Linked DNA regions of Caenorhabditis elegans. The protein of the gene in region 3 interacts with the protein of the main gene of each other region in a pairwise test. Each region holds a gene or a part of one and is shown on either strand. Other genes may lie near its edges.

The links.
Region 1: the proteins of ztf-16 (region 3) and lin-39 interact in a two-hybrid assay, tested with the Caenorhabditis elegans proteins (one large-scale study listed by BioGRID).
Region 2: the proteins of ztf-16 (region 3) and ceh-9 interact in a two-hybrid assay, tested with the Caenorhabditis elegans proteins (one large-scale study listed by BioGRID).
Region 4: the proteins of ztf-16 (region 3) and egl-43 interact in a two-hybrid assay, tested with the Caenorhabditis elegans proteins (one large-scale study listed by BioGRID).

The regions. Positions count from the first base shown.
Region 1 is NC_003281.10:7,533,600-7,538,178, forward strand, and holds the start of lin-39 (Homeobox protein lin-39), read right to left. Parts: upstream 3,034-4,579; 5' UTR 2,991-3,033; intron 1,102-2,990; coding exon 802-1,101; intron 1-801. UniProt on the Caenorhabditis elegans protein: Transcription factor.
Region 2 is NC_003279.8:564,738-568,248, forward strand, and holds ceh-9 (Homeobox protein ceh-9), read right to left. Parts: upstream 1,852-3,511; 5' UTR 1,655-1,851; coding exon 1,504-1,654; intron 1,144-1,503; coding exon 956-1,143; intron 808-955; coding exon 703-807; 3' UTR 547-702; downstream 1-546. Other genes in the region: Y65B4BR.1 (Lipase_GDSL domain-containing protein), read left to right, coding at 1-373.
Region 3 is NC_003284.9:4,805,495-4,813,270, forward strand, and holds ztf-16 (Zinc finger protein ztf-16), read right to left. Parts: upstream 6,047-7,776; 5' UTR 6,032-6,046; coding exon 5,959-6,031; intron 5,746-5,958; coding exon 5,690-5,745; intron 5,446-5,689; coding exon 5,301-5,445; intron 5,198-5,300; coding exon 5,106-5,197; intron 4,752-5,105; exon of another isoform or gene 4,614-4,751; intron 4,396-4,613; coding exon 4,327-4,395; intron 4,163-4,326; coding exon 4,073-4,162; intron 4,011-4,072; exon of another isoform or gene 3,870-4,010; intron 3,177-3,869; coding exon 2,952-3,176; intron 2,760-2,951; coding exon 2,580-2,759; intron 2,512-2,579; coding exon 2,386-2,511; intron 2,338-2,385; coding exon 2,134-2,337; coding exon of another isoform or gene 2,050-2,133; intron 1,383-2,049; coding exon 1,200-1,382; 3' UTR 504-1,199; downstream 1-503. UniProt on the Caenorhabditis elegans protein: Positively regulates the expression of ver-1 in the amphid sheath glia of amphid sensory neurons. Together with ehn-3, plays a role in somatic gonad development and is required for proper gonadal primordium assembly and somatic gonad precursor cell morphology.
Region 4 is NC_003280.10:9,953,435-9,958,191, reverse strand, and holds the start of egl-43 (Zinc finger protein egl-43), read right to left. Parts: upstream 3,008-4,757; 5' UTR 3,007-3,007; coding exon 2,887-3,006; intron 1,182-2,886; exon of another isoform or gene 1,180-1,181; coding exon 1,078-1,179; intron 1,023-1,077; coding exon 892-1,022; exon of another isoform or gene 845-891; intron 1-844. UniProt on the Caenorhabditis elegans protein: Probable transcription factor, required for migration of the hermaphrodite-specific motor neurons (HSNs) from the tail to the gonad primordium during HSN cell differentiation. Required for phasmid neuron development.

The DNA.
Region 1 (4,579 bases), on a different chromosome or scaffold from region 3:
AGTACAAAAATCGATGGAACGATCATTAATCTCAATCTGAATACTCTTCTTCCTCTTATTCTCCATTTTGTAACTCGTTCTCATAAATTTTATTTCAATTCCTACTCTTCCAATGGTAGTCACCAGGCGCCAGTCCACTCACTTCAAAAGAGAAAATAAAATTGATCGCGTTGTCAGATTATTTTCAGAAACGCTGAGGAATTGATTGATTTTCAATTTTTGGCGGGAAATGACAGAAGTTTCAAACCAGTGGGAGGCGCCAAAAGGGTGTTAGAACTTTTGAATTAAAAAAAAACAGATGAAATAAAAAAAAACTTTCAAGAAATTTAAATTCCACATGGACCCGAAATGTTTCAAGAACTAATTGTCTCTGAGCACCTGTTTATTTTTCAAAATGGTTTGTTTTCAGAAATTAAATTCGATTAGCAAAAGTTAACCAAATCGGTCTCAGCGCTTTGCAGAAACTAGAATTATTTGAAGGTTGTCAAAAGTGCGGCAAATAAAAAATTGTGACTTTCTATAAATCTGTGAGCATTCCTTTATTTTAATTATCCCGAATCACACACTATTTTAGTTATTAAAATTTTACACAAATTTAATTTTTGCCAATAGAGGAGCTTCCTAACTATAACGCTCCAACTCTTGCTTAAAGTATGGTGACGTTCAGAGAACTTAAAAAGATTACGAAATTCGAAATTGCTGAACTTTTCTAAAATATCATTTCATCTACTTAAATTTGTAGTGTTTTTTTTTTAAATATAATACTGTTTTAAAAATTACCTTTAAAGTTTCGTAACTAACCTGATCTCCGAGTATTGGATATTGAGGACCTCCCAGTCCTTGACTTGAGGCAAAATATGAAGCAATTTGAGAAGAACTAGTCGGATCATAATAACTTCCAAAATGAGCAGAAAGTGCAGCAGACGCTGTCATTGGATCATATCCAATTGTACTCGATAATTCAGAAGATGATGGAATTCCAGATGCACCCACAGAAGATGTGGATGATGATGAAGAAGATGAGGATGAAGACGAAGAGCTTGATTCAGGAGCTGTAGCTCTCGGTGCATCTGTGGATGACGGTGATGTTGATGTGGTCATCTGGAGTGAAAACGAGTGAAAGTGATTGATAAGAATTGATTGAAAAGAGATGAAAAGATGAGGGGAGGGAGGGGAAACGAGGTGATATAATAAATGAGGACGAGAGGCGCGTCGGGGCGGTTGAACATTTGTTAAAAATGTGACGTCTCCCTCTTTCTCCTCTTTTCTTCCATTGCAAAAGAGACAGAATACCGGGCGCCATCCTTCCCCGATCCCGCCCATTTCTCCTATTGGACGAAGGGTGGAGTCTCAGAAAGCGGAAGGGATGAGGGAATAGAATAAGAGGACGATAGAGATGAATGCAGTAGTTAAAAAAAGAGATCAAATTTTTTTCATTGAAGTAGATCATTCAGATATTCCTAAAGTCTACATATCTTCAAAAACCGAATAACTAGTAGAATAGGTATTTAAATTTGAACAATTGTAGTGAGAGCAAGAAAACTAACAATTTGTGCTGCTAGTCTAGAATTCAGAGATACGTGTACAATCGCAATCAATGACCGGATCAATATCTCCCAAGAGCCCAAATTTTCAACACAAAAGTTAAATACGATGATTCAGTTCTTAAAATTTTGAAGAACTTTCAGCAACCATCAATTTCTTTTACAGGTGATCAGAGCTTTAAAATTTATTAAAATTCCTGGGCACATATAATTGAAACCAATAAATTTCAGAACACGAATTAGCAATAATTACCGTTTGATAGATTTTAAATTTTAATTTAAGAACCTTGTTTTTTTTAATTACTGCATTCATCAAAAGGAATTAGATCAACCTATCAACTACTTGTACCTAATCCTTAGGAAATCATTAAAACTAGGAAAACAACAAAAGCTTAAGAACGGAAACAGAACAAAAAGAGAAGAAAAGTAAAGAGTTGGAAATGGAGAGAGAAAAGATGATGGTGATAAATTGAGGAGCAATCTGCGAGAGACGAATTGTTTTTGTGGGTGTGCTCAAGTGGGTGGTCATGGTTTAAGACCCGCGGGTTTTACCTTATAAGATTGGATAATTGCTCTAAATAGCTTTATATAAACTAGTAAGCAATCTATGAGGTCAAGAAGAAGTATGGACTAGAAGTCTTTATGTGTTTTCTCTGTAGGCCTAAGCTCTGAAATGTTACCTAACACTATTCCACACATTCTCCATGTCTTGAATATTTATGTGACTACTGATTACAAAATGAAATTTCAGAAATATTGAGGCTGTGGGCAATCCTCGAAATTTGACGAACTCAGCAATTTCGGTAGATTTGTCGCACACACCTGACAATGAAGCTTTTAAGTTGGATAATTTAAAGTTGTGATAATAGCTTTTTTAAAGTAAGATTACATTTTGTTTTCTTCTATGATTCACAAATTAAACGAGGGTGAGATTCAATTTATTTAAATGATCGGCAGAATAACGGGAACACGGTAAAAAGGCGCCTTCGCAACGCCTCATAAAGTGCAACATCTAATCTGGGCTCATTTCTTCCAGATATGTTTTCAATTTTTCAATGGTATATTCTCCAATAATGCAACATAAAATGTTTTTTCGGAACGCAGGTAATTTGAATAAATTCCTACAACAAAAAAAAAACAGCAGAAGCCAAAGCCGAGTATCTAAAAATGTTTCAAATACTGAAATTTAGTCGATAACTTTGCGAAAATATAAGAGGGTTCCGAAATAAACTAGATTTTAAACGTTTTCTGCCACAAAGGTGGAAAATTGATATTTGAAGTACATAACTTGCAAAATTTAAAGACTACGTTTTAAATAGTAGAGAATTTTCCTATAACTTTTTCAGGTGACCTCTAGGTTCAACTTATTTAAAGTTAAGTTCCAGTTTCATTTAGAACTTTGAGAAGCTTTGTGCCAGGAGTGGATTTAAAAAAAGAGAGATTTACCTTAATTCTAGAAGGTCGTAAAAAAATGTTGCCAAAATTCTATTGTTGGTATTGCCATCGGAATTTCCTCTATCGCCCTCCCACTTCATGTCTTCTAATCCGGGCGGCACGCACAAGAAGACGCAGACGTACTGATACACGTGAAGGGTGGAGCATGCTTCTTCTCCAATCTCCCCCACTGTCGGCATAGATCAAAGAGGTTCGTGGAGCCGAGAGCACATCTCTTGCTCTCGCCTTTTCAATTCATCACTGACAGCGCTGGATGGACATGGGGTGAGAACGACAGGTACCGTAAGCTTTTGGGCTCCAAGAGTAGAAGAGTTGAGCAGAATGAATTTTCGCTTTTAAGTTGCCGCTTTTAGGAACAAAATCTTGACCAACTTTTTCCCATTGGACAAGTTGTCAAGAGTCAGTCGAAATGTGCTCAATTTTATGAACTCTCTGATTTTATAGATATGGAATTGTTACATGAAAATTGGAAAAATGGCAAAAAGGGAGAGTATCTCGGCTTTGGGCTAAAACTTGAGCAGAAATTGAGCAAGGTTTCGACAACATAGTCTAAGACAAGTATTGTCAAAGCTCTTACCAACTTTTGCCAACATCTGATAGTCCGCTTTTTGAGCCAAATGCCTGGTATGCACAAAAAGTTCAAATGACCAAAAGACGAATTTCTGTGAAATTTTAAAACGGCGTTATGGGAATTTTGAAAAACGTTGAAGTTTTTCTAGGTCATTGATCAGATTTTCTAAAAATTTAAGCTTCTAGCTATTTCTAGCTAAATTAAATGTTATCAATACTTGGTCGACACCAAACACTATTTTTTGGAATTGTCAAGATACCTAAATATAAAAGTCTACAACTGAAGCATACGCTTAATATGTTTTCAAGATTTTGCAAGGCATCTGAAATTGCTTCGAGATTTCCAGCAGTGCCTCACCTTGTTCTTAAAAGTAAAAGTTCCCGAAACTTGAGGTTTCAGAAATGCCAACTGCAACTGAATTGATTCCAACGCCTCTTACAAAATGAAAGAATAAAGTTCTAGAAGTTCCCTACTGTAAACATGCAAACAGAGATATTTAAACTATTTATAAAACTTAAAATGTGTTACTTTTGTTAACTTTGAAAGTCTTTTTTAATTTTTTGATTAAAATAAAATTTTCAAATTAACAGTACATAGAGAATTACAAATTCTCAGAGCCACAACACATGATAATGTACTATAAAAGGAAATAACCCAAACACATCACATTTTTTATTTCATTATCAGTTTTCTCAATCTATAAATGATCCAATATCCTCACACCTCTCACAGTATAGATAAGGAGATAAGAATTGCATAACACTGTGGTAATAAATAAAAAAAAAAAGTGAGTAAATGATTAGTAAGTGATTATGCAATTGACTCAAGTCTATTTCCTGTCTCTTTTACAGTGATTTATGAGTGTCAGGAAGCATCAAGAAGTGTGGAATGAATGGCATCCAATTACTCATTTGTAGGTACACGAATCAAGAAAAAATAGGTTGAAGAAGTGTAGGGATCTTCTCTCTTTTACAAATTGATGTTCGACAATTCCTCATTTTGATTTTTT
Region 2 (3,511 bases), on a different chromosome or scaffold from region 3:
CGACATCTCGGCTGCCTGCCATCTTTACATGGATGCTCAGCAGGAGATTCAAGACTCGGGAATCTTCGACTCAACAGATGACTTTACATTTGTCGTTCAACCATTCTTCAATGGAATCACAGTTCCACCACTCAAGCCCGACGGAGAAGTCAATCTGGATTGGTTTGCACCGGATTGCTTCCATTTCTCAAAACTAGGCCACGCCAATGTTGCCAAGCACTTGTGGAACAATATCGTTCAACCAGTCGGATCCAAGAACCATCAAGTCAATCTGTCAGATCCTACCATTCCACTAAACTGCCCAGACACCAAGTGCCCATTCTTCAGAACAACTAAGAACAGTGTTGACTGCTCGAAATATATGACTGCCTAGACTGTAGGAAATTGTGTTTGTGTGTGTAATTTGACGTACTTATCGGGTCTGCAATAAAATGTTTTATCGTGTAATCTTTAATTTTTAACGTGTGAGACATAAAAGAAAGAGCACCCTCAATAAAAATATCCACGTGGAGTACACAATATAGCTATCAATAGAGCGAGTAAATATTTTTGCAATAATTATTTATTAGAAGAATGGAGATCAAGGTAAAGGAAGAGATCTTGATTTTGAAAAAAAGATACTGGAAATACTAATTGTTCACGGGATTTCATAGAAGGGGATATATCACGACTTTTTCTTTGAAAAATAAAAACAACATAAAATTATTGCGGCTTCACAATCTGATCATCCGGTATTTCTCCAGATCTTTCCTTTTCCGATTCGATCTTCTTCCACTTGGTACGCCGGTTTTGGAACCAGATTTTCACCTGGAATTTGAGAAATTTCAGCTATGCGTTGAGTGCCGCGTTACGTGCTGCGTTGCGTGCTGCGTTGCGTGCCGCGTTGCGTGCCGCGTTGCGTGCTGCGTTGCGGGCTGCGTTGCGTGCCGCGTTGCGTGCCGCGCTGCGTGCCTACCTGCGTCTCCGTGACATCCAATCGTTTTGCAAGCTCACTTCTGTCACTACTTGACAAATACTTTTTCGCCTCAAACTGCTTCTCCAGTTCGAATACTTGTTTCCCGGAAAATGTCGTCCGCGCCTTCTTTCTCTTTGTTTTTTGACATTTTTCTATAGGAGACTCTTTGGCTTGGTCGAGGCTGGATTCTGAAAAAATATTCTTAACGGCTGATTATTTTTCTACGTGTAGCATTTTTCCGAAATTCATTGAACAAAATTAGTAAATTTCCAAAAAATTTTTTTTCCAAAATTTCGAAAACATTTTAATTTTTTTCAGATTTTCTAATATTTTAAAACAAAAATTGAGAGTAAAGGAAATAAAAATTGTGTCTTGTAATTTTTGTAATTTTTACTCAAAAAAAGGCCAGTGAAATACTATTACAGAAAATACGAATCGATGCACCATGTCAAAAAGAATAGTATTTCACCTCAAATGCACCATGCCCAAAACTAGTCTATTTTTCAACTACAAAACTTCATACACCTAATCCAAAGAAATCAACTTACTGCATCTTCCAAATTCATCAATTTCTCCATTAACAGTTGGTAAGTCAAGTATATCCTTTATCAGGTGACTAGTTCTTCTCTGAGGCTTCACATCAGACGTCAACAGTGCAAAATAGGGTTGAAGTAGTTGGAAGAGCAAGTCAGTTTCCATTTTGCACGAATGAAAAGAACTTCTGAGAGACTTCTCTATACAGTAGGTCTCGAGGTCCCCGCCTTCTCTTCAATCAAATAATTGAAATTCTGGACTCTCGGGGGACTTTTGACGGTTGACGACGACGACAATTTGCCAAAGTGGTCGACAATGATTGCGCAATTGGTGTGGAAAGAAGAAGAAGATGGGTGAGTTCTGAGATGATGACAAAAAGAGCATGAGCCAGCAAATTGAATAAGAGACCGGATTTCGAGAAGGAGGAGGGGGAGAGGAGGATTGGTGGTAAGGGATGATACTTGATGCAATTGAGGGAATGAGTTTCTCATACTTGACTATTAAATACTTTTCTTGAACTTAAATATTTGAATTGAAATTTTGGAGTAGCGGAGGCACATGTGATATTATTGTGCTAATTTGTAATACTTGGACTTTCAAATATAACCTCAATTATTTGAAAAAAACCTTTTGAATAGACCAGCAAGGTTGATCTACAATTTTTCATGGAAATCGAATTAATTTTGTAAGGATGTCTACTGAGTATAAGCTTATTGTTAGGCTTAGGCTTAGGTCTAGACTTAAGGCTACACTTAAATTTAGGCCTAGGCTTAGGCTTAGGCTTAGGCTTAGGCTGAGGCTTAGGCTGAGGCTTAGGCTTATGCTCAGACTTAGGCTTAGGCTTACGCTTAGGCTTAGGCTTAGGCTTAGGTGTTGGCTTCAGAATAAGCTCAGGCGGGGGTGAGGGAAGGGTAGAAAAAAAAGAAAGAGAAATTTCCAGAAATTCACAAAATCCAGAAAAAAACATATCTTTCACAAGTTTATATTTTTATAGCCTAAAAAATTACTTTTAAAATGAGGATATGCAACCCGCACGCAAAAAAACCTTTTTTTTTTTGAGCAATTTCACGGCTCTTTTTTTTTTAATTTAAAAATACAATAAAAAAACCAAAAAAATTTTCCGAGCCCAAATTGCTCCCAAATGCTCTAAATTTCTTTTGAAGTTTGATATATTCCTATTAGAACTTGAGGAAAATGTAAAACTAGAGAAACATAATACTACGCATGTTAAATGTAAATTACTTACTTTTAAAAAGTCGTACGTTATTTTGGAAAGTTTGAGGTTTTTGCATTTTTTCCGTAATATCACTGAACACTTTTATTTAAATATCATCAATTATCGGAAGTTTATAGGTTGCAGGAGAAAAAATATATTCTAGCGGGAAAATGAAATGAGACGGGGGGACATTTTTAACCAAAAAAAAATCAGAAAACAGTTGGTAATAAAATTATTCCAAGAAAGTATAAATTCATGACTTCCATCTTGGGAACATTCTTAAAAAATGTCAACGAATAAATCTTTGTGGCAAACAAACTTTTTCCATAAATGTTTCAGACCTTATATAGCGGACATGAAAGTTGATTGCTTATTTGATATGTCTTGAGTTTATTTTTTTTTATTTCAAGCGAGGGGAGATTTATTTGCCTAGATATATATATAATTATTACTGGAACGAACTGGAAAAAAACTTGGGATCAAAAAAATCAAAAATTCAAATTCAAAAATTCAATTTTTCGAAACTTTTTCTACAGCTTTGTCGAGAAGCAACAGACAAATACTTATAGCTAAAATTTTATTAATATTCTAGTTTTAGTCATGGTGAATCGAGAATTTGTCAATTTCCATGTGGTATCTTAAAAATAAACCGATACACGTGGTGTCAGGCTGTCTCATTGCGGTTTGATCTACGAAAAATGCGGGAATATTTTTCCAGAAAAATTGTGACGTCAGCACGCAAAAATTAATAAGGGTCTAACCAAAAAAACTTGAATCTTGGAAATATTTTTAATTCACCCTAAATT
Region 3 (7,776 bases):
TAAACATGAATTTTTAGGTTTAATGCGAAATTGTAAAAAAAATATGGCAAAAACTGGAAACTTCGCCAACCGTGTTTCTCAATCATGTTCTGTCAGATAACTGACGAAAGGCACCTGCAATTTGTGTTGTGATAGTTCTACTTTTTATCAATCTGCTAACAAATATAGATGCAGTTTGAAATAAAACAACAACCCATAAATAGTTCAAATGTCCTTACAAATGGCTATAAATAAAACTGATCTAGTAGTCGCTAATCTTGACAAAAATATGAGAAAGAGAGCCACTATTGTTGGTCCTGCAGAGCACAATGTTGATGCATTGGGTTCTTGGCAAGTCCCCGTGGGACACTGCCCAACTGAACCGGATTGTCCGTAGTGAGCAGCACACGACTCATAACCATATACGCTGGGCCAATGTCAATCACAGACTGCCTGCCAATCCATTTAGCCGTTTTCCTAGCCACCATGACTTTTTTCTAGTATTCTATTCTCCAGTATGTTTTCAACAAAATTTATTTTGAAATGGGAAGAAAATTGATGGGACAGTGGGACAGAGAGAAAGCTTGATAAAATTACTATTCTAATCGGAAAGAAATGTTTGGGATGGGTGGAACAGATAAGGAGGCCTTCAAAAATTCTGAATATCAGTTGAAGTTCACTAGTTTAAAATACATTCGAAGAAATCATTGAAATTGTACAAATTTTGATGAGGGGTGGTGGTGAGAAAGGAAAATAAAACACTAACAACAAAAACCTAACAATGCAAGGTTACGGAAAAAATTAACGGGTCCAAAATGACTTTTGACACGTGTGCAAATGAATTGAAACAAGATAGAGAGCAGAATCAGGAGAAGATGAAGAAAGTTTTTAAAAATGTAAATAATGATATTTGATGGTTTAATATTGATGAGAAATAGACAAAAACACGGGGCAAATACTTTTGATAGAGACAAAGAGCTGTTGAGAATCAATGAGAAGAAGCAGAATCATTCGTTGTTTCCCTGTTATGAAGAAAGAAAGTGACAAATAAAGAGGTAATCAGAATTGACTGTGAATATGCATCGAAAAAAACCGAAGAAAACCGAAAAAAAAAACAAAAATTAAAATGTGGATGAAAGAATGGGGGTGTTTTGGATTCGCTAGACTGACTACTAAAACTGAAAGGCAATCGGGGGGATATTTCTTGGATGATGGTGAATTCAGGCGGAAGTCGTTGCTTGAGTACTATGATCGGCAAAAATGACATGAGTAGTGAACATGTACTTCTCGCCGCACTGAGTTCCGCACAATGCGCATTTGAAAGGATCACCGTCCGAGTGAAGACTTTTATGGAGCAGGTACATTGTGTTGTCGTAGAACATCATTCCGCAATGACAGCATTCCTAAAATAATTCTAGAGTTAGATGCCATTAAATGAGTAACGGTTATGAGTGTTTTGAGTATATATACAGAAAGCGCACGAATTAACGAGCTTTGCAATGAAGTTTCTAACAGAAACTTTTTAAAAAGTTTTTTTTAATCGAAATTTGAATTTTTGAAAAAACCTGCCAAATTCTAGCTAAAAACTGCAGCAGTCCGAACTTTTTTTTGAATGGTATCAGCTGCTGCGAACCGGAAAAGGCAAAGGCCGGGCTTTTAGCTAAAATTAACTCTTTTTTTTTGAAATTTTTTGAGAAGTCTCATTGCAAAATGTTCAAAATACCTAAAACCTATAGTTTTCCTTTAAATTCAAATTTCGGAAGAGAAAGTTGATAGTTCTGATAAGGTGGGTGATGTAGAGAATCCATCATCCTTCAGATTTCAAAGAAAACTTGTGACATCTACGAGAAATTGAAAACCTCCTCATCAAACTATACATGGTGTAATGTTCGGTTTTTCTATCTCTTTTTTTAGATTTTTTCTCAAATGAGAACGTTCCGAAAGTTGCAACAAATTGGCAATCATTTAATCAGTCTATGTTTTTAAGGTTGATAAAACCAAATTTTGGCATCAACAAAGAAATGGATCAAAAGTCCCAATTTTTGGAAAAAAAAACTCTGTTGACGATGCTCACAATTCTAATTGCACTTCGAAAAAAGGTAAACAAAATGGTGACATTTTCAATAACAAGTTGTTATTAGCGATAACACATACCACATTCTCCTCGTCTTCTTTTTCGGGAGTCGGTGATTTCTCTTTTTCAGTTAACGAAAGTGATGACTCATTGGCTGGCGGCGAGTGCGACTGTTCACTCGGACTTGGAGCACTGACACTCACAGAGCTTGACGTCTGCTCTGACCAGAGTTGCACCTGATCCTGCTTCACAATCGCTGCCACTGCTGGAATGTTGTGAAGAGCCTGAAATGCAAAGGTTAATTAGCGAAAGTGTGAAGGTTTCATTGATACCGGCAATGGAATATTTGGAATGTTGAGCATTGGTCTTGGGATGTTTTCTCCGAATCCATTGAACTGGTTCATTTGGTTTAGACACATCAACAAAATATCTGGGTTAGCCATAGGGAAGCTTGGTGGCTGAAAATAAAACCATGGAATCATGGAAATGCTTTTTATTCAAAAAGAAACGAAAGAAAGATTCTTACAATTTTGTCGAATTCAGAACTTGTGGAGTTATCGGAGGTGTCGGTGTTTGGAGGGCTAAACTCTGATTTCACCATTCTTTGCAACTGTTCTGTTATGCTCATGTTCGCAGGATCCATTGGCAAAGCATTTCCATTCGACAGCTTCTTCCTTTTTGGCGTGTTTTCTTTTTTCGGAGAAGACTGAAAATCAGAATGAGAAATAAGAGTTCACGTTCAGGATATCACATGATGAGAGAGATTCCACGGAAAGTGCGTCTCTTGGGGCAACCGAATTAAGCTCCGAGAACGAGAAAAACATCACCTAATAAGGCTCAGGTTCTGCTCGCTAATCATGTGTTACGTTTCCGTGTAATCTGAAGTTACATCTCTTACCTCAGAATCGTCATGTCTTGTCTGGAAATGAAGGAGAAGACGTCGCGAATTGGCGAACATCAAATTACATCGCTTACATGACGCGGGATTTGTTGACGAAATTGTGTGCGTTTCTTCCAAGTGTGCTCGGAGTGCATTGTGCTGACTAAACTGCATGTTACATTGTGATACTGGACAGTCGAAACCAAAACCCGTTTTGATATGTGTCATTGAATGCTCTTGCATCTGAAAGTTATAGGTTTATTTTAAGTTACATGTTTAAAACATGACTACGGTATGTTTTTAACATCTAAAAATCGGTTTTCACTTTCACACAATATTACAATTTACAATTTTCTCTGGTTTTCTCCTCGCCCCGCAACCTTTGTCTTTCATTATAAAAACCCCTTTTGATGCGAGCGAGGGTGATGGCTTTCAACTTTTCGGGAACCAATCAGAGACGCAGCTAGAACAAAAAAAAAACCGCCGACGGTTGGTATTTCTTCTTTTTTTTACTGATTGGCCCTGGGGGTAAGGTACACAGTAAAGAGCGGCAAAAATATGGAGACATCGAGAAGATGCTAGAAGGTAGGATGGGAGGTAGGATCTTCCGAAGAAAATGCGCGTGCTATCGTCAAGGTCTTTTACTTCTCATCTTCACCAACGTCGTCGGATAGTATGAAGAATCGGAGAAGAAAGACGCGCCAACCGTTTTCATATTCGACGGCATAACCTGACACCAATACCGTCAAATTGGTTCCCCCCGATTTTCCTGTTTTCTTCAGGCTCGTCGACCTTCAAGAACGGTTTTGGGCAAACAGATATCATCAGAGCGCTTGAAGAAATGGTTGATGGGCACTGCGGCAGTTCCCTGCCATCCATGGAAGAGACTCTTCTTATTTCCGGGAAAGTGAAAATATCCAAATTGAAAACGACCTTCAGGCGGCAATCCGCCGCCTCCTTCTTCCCTCAATTTCCCTTTCCTTACGGGAGATCAGTTTCACTTTCCATTTGATTACGTAAATTGAAGATAAAACACGATTTTTGAGTTACGGAAGGCGGCAGCGGCTTCTTACGCAACAGCCGTTAAATGGTGGGGCTAGGAGGTGGAGGGTAATAAAAAATATGCCAGACAAGCATACCTGATCTTTCCTGAAAAATCGTTTTTTGCAAAAACGACACTCGTATGGCTTCACACCGCTGTGGCGCATCCGATGACGATGCATGTTAGCCTGAAAACGCAACATTGATAAACCACAGGAAGAAAGTGAAAAGGGAATCAAAGAAGAAGATCAATCAGCACGATAACCATACTTGGAAAATCCAAATGATTCAAAAGTTGTCGAGTGTTTGAAAACCAGATTCCGATTCAGAAAATGTTTTAAAAATTGCTCACCTTCTGGCTGAACTGCATTTTACAGATGTCGCATTGGTACATTTGGCCTTGATGGCGTTCATGCGCTTCCTGAAATGTTCAAGAATCTTCACTGGTATGTCATGTGATTTCTAAGGTCATCACGTTTTTTGTACTGCCCCCGTATCTGGTCTTCCCGTTTCTTTTTCCAAAAACGCCTCTTTTTCCTCCCATCTTCTTCCACCCATCCCAATCTCTACCGCTTGATGTCACTACATAACCGAAAAAGGGAAAATCTATGTTTTTTTTGGTTTGGTTTCTCGGAAGATTCTGCCTTAACCAATTAGTATGACACCGGCTCACATGAAAGGCAACATCCTTAAGAAGAAAAGCCAATATATGAGGAGCCTGCCTCCTTCTCCCATACCACTCCACTACTACTCATCCCGATGACCGTTCGGGAAGTGATGGGATTGGCCGTCGGAACAAAAAACAGTAGGGTCAAGTGAGAGACGCAGTTAACTGGACAGTAGATAGAAAGTAAACAGTAGTTTGTGAGAAAAGCGGCATGGAGCGAGTGGGAGAAGAGAAAAGGTTCACGGAGTGTTGACTTACAGGACCCACCTTACAAGGAATTGATGAAAAGTGGAAAAGAGGGAAATTGAAAAGACTTTCATATCCATCAACAGATTTACATGCTAAAATTAATTTGTACCCTTGGGAACATGCGTAATAATGTACTGAAAGTATCTTTCACTCTTCCGTCACCTATAGAACAAGAGAATGCTTTCAAGAAAACGGGTAAAAATCCTTGAACCTACCAAGTGGCTTTTCATGTGTTGCGACATACAAGTGGTGAAATTACAGTGCGGGCAAACGTGAACCGTCTTTTGTCCTTTGGTGCCTGGTTCTTCTGAAATTTTTAGGTTTCACAATTGCATATTGGTACTTGGTAATTAACCATCAATAGAAATACATTCCAGTGTGTAAGAAAATGCAATTCAAAGAAAACTTACTTTTGATGAGAGTGTTTGTGATTTCTGTTATCGAAATGTGATGTTCAAGATGTTCATCCGAGTCCGGACTCGGCGTTGGATCTGAAGGGGGCGTGGACCGTGGCGACGGCGTGGACGACTGAATACCATCTCCCCACTCGATTGTCTGAAAAGCCTTGGTCTCAATGTTTCTAACGAGTCTCAGGGGGCATGTCTGGAAGACGTGTTACAACGTCACATCCAACATCCCTCCCCTCTTCATTTTTTCCACGTTCTGTTGTTCCCTCACATATCTTCTCTACCTCTGGCACTAATTAGGCAAATATGGCATTATGACGCAACCTTTTTTCTATATCTCTCACTCACACGCTCTCACTCTTCTGGATGAATTTTACTCTCCCATAACATACCTGCGAGTTAGACATTTCTCCGCTTGAAGACCTGCTGTGCTCGTTTTCGTGCTTCTCTGCAAAAAAAAAGTATTAGGGGGTAATGTTGCTAAATGTGAAACGCAATAGAAGCGGGTTAGTTAATGGGTTGAAGCGCTCACTAAACCGCTACAAATCCGAATTTTTACGGGTTTGTCTCCGTTCTAAGATGAAAAAAAGATGGACAAAGCGCGGGTAGGTGGATGTTTCAAACGAATTGGCATTCATGTATCACCGAACAGGTTGGTTACCTATATGTCCTTGAAACTCGGAAAATACAGTAGTCGTGAATCCGCATTCTGTGCAAGCGTTCAGTTCATCCATTGTTGAGATCACTGAAATGATAACCATAGCAAAATGAAAAACCCTGACAGGGAATATCTGGTAATGAGACGAAAATGGGCGACAAAAAGAAGAACAACGAGGAAAAATAGGGGAAAAAAGCGAGGAATATGGCACGACGAGACTTGCACACAATAATCAGGTGTGTTTACGGATGGCAGAAGATAAGAAAGGAAATGTATAGGAAATGGTAACAGGCGGATATAGGAATATATGGGAAAATTGGAAAATGGAAATACTAAGAGTGACTGGAAAAATATGTATTATCGGAGCGAAAAAAGCGGAGGAGGGGGAAAAGGAGGAGCCGGATCCATAGGTATGATCACATTGACAAGCATTTACAACGGCTCGCCAAATTACTGGTTACGCGCCTGGATACGAATTTGGGGAGTAGGCAGTAATTTATGGATAGCCAGCTTCTTTAGCAACCACTGCGAGTTGGACTTGTTATGAGTGTGTTTGATTTAGCGAGAGCCTGGTCCACGGTTTTGAGAGCAGCTAGGTGACCTCGCCTAGTTGTTTGTCGTCTCGCGGCGGCGGAGGCGAAGAAGGACCGAGATACGGTTTCCGGGTTTGGCCAAACATCTCAACCCGATGCCTCCCCGTGTACTCCATAAGCTGCTTCTCCGGATTTGACTTGCACTCATAGCGACGAGCTACTGTGTGCTTACTATATTTGTAAGAGAAGTGGTAAAGTGTGTATTCGCTGGGCAGTAGGTATCTTACGGACCTTTACGAGGAGCAATAAGAAAAAAAAGTTGATGAACATTAAAAAAAACAGGAGGAACTAATATGGATTAATTATCGCATCCAGACATGGTGTGTAAGATACGAAACATCAAAACATATATACTATTACACAAAATTTGCATCATAAACACGAAAAAGAGATTTGATGGATTGGGTGGATAGGGTAAAAATGTTATAAAATGAAAATTTTCAATGATCAAAATCTGAAACCAGCACAAAAATAAGATTCAGGAACCTGAGAAAAAAGAACAGGATCTCAAGGAAGGCAAAGTAATGCCAGGTGGATTATAGCACAATTATGTTGATGATTGCATGGCTGTGTGTCTATACTGGATTACTGTCAATTGCGCGTAACCACCACTACAAGTTCGAGACTAGCAGGAAGGTGGTCTAGATGGACAGATGGTGCTAACAGGTAATTGAGATGGGTGAAGTGACTGGAGAGCAAACTCGCATCTAGTATGACGTTACGTTTGCGGAGGAGAACGGTAAGATTGCGATACATAAATCTAGGTTCTATGTTTTAGGTTCTAGGATAGGAAGAGAAATTTGGGGTGTGAGGAATGGTGGGGAGCAAATATGGAGTGAAGGAATCTCTGGGGGTGGGGCACCGCAGGCATTGGATACGGTAGAACTAAAAGTGCAAAAGCTGGCAAACTGATATGGGGCGGATTACACCTGGGGGTGGCAGGGCGGAAAAACGACTTTACGCGGATGGCAATGAAAAAATGAGATGGCGGGGATCGAGGGGGGGAGGAGGTGACGGTTTCTGAATGGCATTTACAAGAAGAGAGAAAGGGGGTGAGATAGTGCGTGTGTCGCGGGGTGCCAAACAAGCTTTTTTGGGAATACGATGAAGAAAAAAGAAGAAAAACGATGTAGAAGAAGAAACTGTCGATGGCAGCAGCAGCGGCAGTGGCGGCAGGCAGCAACGGGCATCATCTCTATCTGTCGCCCGGGGGCGCAAGATGTAAAGA
Region 4 (4,757 bases), on a different chromosome or scaffold from region 3:
AGAAAAATCTATTAAATATTAAAATTAACCCAAACTTTTCAAATCTAATCGGGCAAGTTCAAGGTCTAACGTAAAAATTGAAACCTAAACTTTTGGGATACCAAGGAATCATCGTCTAAAAATTTAAGAAACATAGAAAAGATGGTAATAACACAAATTAAGTTAGCGATATAAAGATTTCGGAAAAAAAGATAAAAATTTATATTTTCCGCAAAAAAAACGATTGATTCTCAAAAAAGATGCAAAATCTAGATCCGCTTCCTTCCCCCGATGCACACCCCTCAAAATAAATCAACGATTTCCTTTGAGGGGCTCAAATACCCAAAAAAGGGCTCCTCCGGAAACCGACACGAATTTGTCATCCAGAAGCGGTAGAATCTATATGTAAATGAACGGGACACAAAAAAAGCGGGCGGGCTTCACTTGGAGATGCTGAAGGATGTGCTCTTATCGGAAATCCGTTACTTTCACCGCGCCAGTGAAAACTATCGAGAAAACGACGGGAGTTAGAAAGTAGGACGATGAGAAGAAAATGACAGAAGATTTTCATGAAGATTCACATCTTTCTTCCGTTACTTTTCCGTTAGAAATCGAGATTTATTTTCGAATATTCGCCTGTGTAAGACCGACAAAACCGGTTTGAAATTTTTTAACGCTGATCTCAACAACTCAAAAATTAAAGGTATACTCAATCTGCTTTTTAGAAATTGTTTTATGTGTAATTCAAACATCCTTCTATGTATAGCAACACAGAACTTCAAATCATAGAAAAAATTCCGGAAAATTACAGTTTTTGCAACTTGTTCAGTTATCGTTCCAATTTCAAAGGTGAGAAAAATCATACCTTTTTAGCATGCTCTTTTTCTTGTTTCTTTCAAGGGTCATACTCACCGATCTTCATCTTTTAACAAAATTAAATTCTCAAGATCATCCTGATCCTCCTCATCACACTCCTCTTCGGACAGTCTTTGTAGAAGAAGACGCTCTCCAATATTGATAATCTTACTGGTTTGTAGAAAAGTCTGAAATTTTTCTTATAGTTAGATAACTTCCTCATTAAATTTATCTAATAATCACCTTTCTATCCTCCTGCCTCATACAAATATTGGCATCTTCTCCGTCATCAGCTTCCTTAATCAGGTTCAAGATGAGAAGAGCATTCGAATCATTCGGTGTAGCCTAAAATAATAATATTTATAAAATTAATGTAAGTGATTGTTTTTAGTACTTTTTCTAAATGATGAGTGTAGAATCTAGGATCTACATAAATCGTAGTAAAAAAATGTATGCCTGCCTGAAAGGTGACCTTCGACGGCCTCGTGATAACATGGATTAAAGAAACGATTGGCACGCTGGGTAGGTTTCTCTATGACCGCTTGTAAGACAACGGTGATGTCTCTTCGGACTTAATTTTACAAAAAATGGACACGAATAGTTATAAAAAATTAAAGTTTCAAGAATCCCTGTATTTGGCGATGCGTTCTTCAAAACTGCATATCCAAATTTTAAGTTTTCACTTCATTTGATATATTGCGGACTGGAAAAAGATGACGTCACGCGCGTCACACCGTGTGACACCAGTTACAAGACTGCATTATTTTTCCTGCAATCTCTGTATATTTTCCCACAGATCTTCGCAGAAACAGTTTAGTACCTCAACAAGGGTTTTGTTGGGCGTACTGGGTTTCCTCCCTCAATTATTTCACAAATCGCACACATTCTAAACTCATTCTCGAAAAAATCTTATTTCATTTCGGCCAACTCACCACTCTCTGTGCTCCGTGAGCTTCAGCCCAAAAACCCATCAATATCTAATAAGAAGAAGCAGGAGCTGTCGCTCTCTCTATCGCTTCTGGAATCTAATTTTCCCACTGTGAGAGCAGGTGGTTTGCCTTCACCAAGCAACCATAAGCAATCAGTGGCTCTCTCGCAAAAGATGATGAACTTTTTCTTCAGTGGCTTCTGATTCTGAGTGACTGCCGCTTGATGTGGTGTGCGTGCGTGATAAGCCAATCAGTGTGAGAGACCCGTCGCCGGCTCTAGATGATAAACAACTGGGGGAAATACACTAATTCAATGATGGAATTGTGACGAAGTTGGATAACGACGACAGCTACAGTAGGAAATTGACGGCTTGATCAACGGATTCAATCCCTCTCCTTTATTGATAGAGCTCCTCAAATTCTTCTTCCTATGGAAACCTAGCAATTATCCATTTTCCCATCAGCGACTGTATTCATCAATTACAGTCGATCATCGAGTCTCTTTTCCCATCTCGGATCCCCCATCCACCAAGGCACCAGGTGTTCCGATTTGTAAATCCTAATGTAATGGTTACTAGTGTGCCCCCAAGGTTAACAAAGTGGTAATGGACGGGGGGAGCGGGAAAGGTGGAAAGACAGGTGTAAGGAATTTTTGAGGAGAAGAAGCAGGGAGGAACACATGGCGCCAAACATTTCAGGGTCCCGATAATTGCGGTTTTGGGTTCTGGGAAGAATTTGTAATTCGAACGTTGAATCATTAGGAAAGGATTTGAAAATGTTGGCGAAGGTACTGTAGATTAGGTAGATTAGGCACCAAGGTATCAATTTAAAATGCTTGTAAAAATATTTTAAAAAAAGTTTTGTTAATTTAAAAAAGTCATTATTTTATCAATTACAACCTAAAATTACTGTTATCATATAACTACTAACTAACAAAATATGAGTGTAACATCTGAAAGCTTATTTCATAGGTTACTCAAGCTATAAGATATTTCAGTTCAAGCGACCTGTATTTTTTCCGGTGGAGTTTTTTAGACGCCCGGGAATAAGCTTATACTTCTTTTTCTAGCGGACACCTCTAAGACAATGTCTACGGCGTAAAAATTGTACACCAAAAGCTCACCTTATCAATCACACCGATGGTCCTTCCGAGTGCAATTTGAGTTACTGCAATGAGCACATTTCCATGTAGCTCATCCTCCTTTACCTCAACACTCGTGAGGAAGTCTGTGTCGATGCTCATCCTGAAAACTTAGGAAACTGTACGTGGGAAGAAACAAGAACTGTACAAATTACAAGAACAGTTTTGGGGCGAAAGATGAGTAATACATCTTGTGAACGAGAACAATGCAACGAAAAAGTTGGATATGGCTGTTCAAGGCTGGCTTTGTCATTGAGAACGAACAGGGAGGAGGAATGGTACGGTAGATGTACGAATTTGGGATAGGAGTTAGGAGTAAGCTGAGAGATATTGGAGGGAGGTGTAGTTTGGGAAGAGATTATTATTTTATTGAATTTTTTAGTAGATGGTGAAAAAGTTTACAAGCCCAATTCATTTGGTAGATGAACTGTAGGAAATTCGTTTGAGATTTTTCATGACAAATTTGCTAGTCAGTTTTAAAATCAAGAAATTCTTAATTTAGAGATTATTTTTTGAGGGTTCTACACCACCACAATGTAGGATACAATTTTATTGAAAAATTGACATATGAGAAGATTGCTCTTCAAAATTTGACATTCTATATTTGATCCAAAAACTCGAATGTCTCTCCAGAAGTCATATATAGTAAAAACGTCAAGATACTTTAAGGATACTTCAACTAACCAGAAAAAAAAGAAAGGAAGATGGAAAGAGGCGCCTTCCATTTGTGGATGCGAGAGGAGCGAGAGCCTCTCCTGTCTCAAAAAGTGGGCGGGTGGAAGAGATGGAAGACGACACGCCCATCAGCCAATCGGTAGAGTGACAGGATGCTTCAGGTGAGGAGCATCTTCACTTGAAAAGTTGCAAGTTTCGAAAACCCCACGTTACTAAAGACTATTTTAATATAGAAAATTCTTAAAGTAGAATAGCAATTTTTATTTACTTTCTAACATATGTACTTCGATACTTAGAAAAATAAACAAAAGTGAAAATATCTACACCTACTAAATTAGAATCTATTGAGCATTTCTAGTAGAAGCCAAGCCGTTTATTTGTCGGCTGAATGTCTGTAATAAGTTTCCTGATATCATGAGGTGAAAGCAGAAGACAAACGTTTTTTCCAGGAGTAGGCTATCGCGAGACTCCATCGAGGTCGGCTGCGAGTTTACCGAACTGCTCAATAATCAAAGACCAACTTAAAAACTATAACAACTATTGACTTAGTTTGAATTTTTGGAAGTAAATTGCTGGACGGAAAATACAACAGGGTGTAGCAGTTTGCCGCAGCTTTGAAATTATACATTTGAGGACAGTCTAGAACCATCCAAAAAATCAGTGACCCCAGAGTTTCCAGTAAAAGCGAGCAAATGGGAGCTATTTTAAAGTAGAGGTGTGCCCCTCCACCAATTGTGGTCTTCTTCTGACGGATGTGCTGCGCTTTTCTTCTTCATGGTCCTCATCTTTTTGGAAGAAGGGACGGGACAAAATTGCCGCTTCTTTTCTTCTATTCTTTCCGTTTTTCTTCTCCTCATAGCTCCAGGTGAGCGCACCGAGAAGAGCTTTTATATAGGAGTAATAAAAGGTGGGCTCGTCCATTCTACAGAAAAATAGAAGAATGGAAAAGTTGTGAGGAAAATGGAAAAAAAGTTAGAGACATTCAAGTGATACAGTATTAAAAGTGTCATAAGTGTAGAAAGAAAACGGTCACATTTTGAAATGAAGAATTGTTGAACAAGAGTAAAATATTTCGAAAACCTTGAAAATTTAAAGTTATGGTGCTCATCACTTGACACATGATGTGCCATTAGAACTGATAATAATGATATGATAACAAAAAATGGAACTTTTTTTCT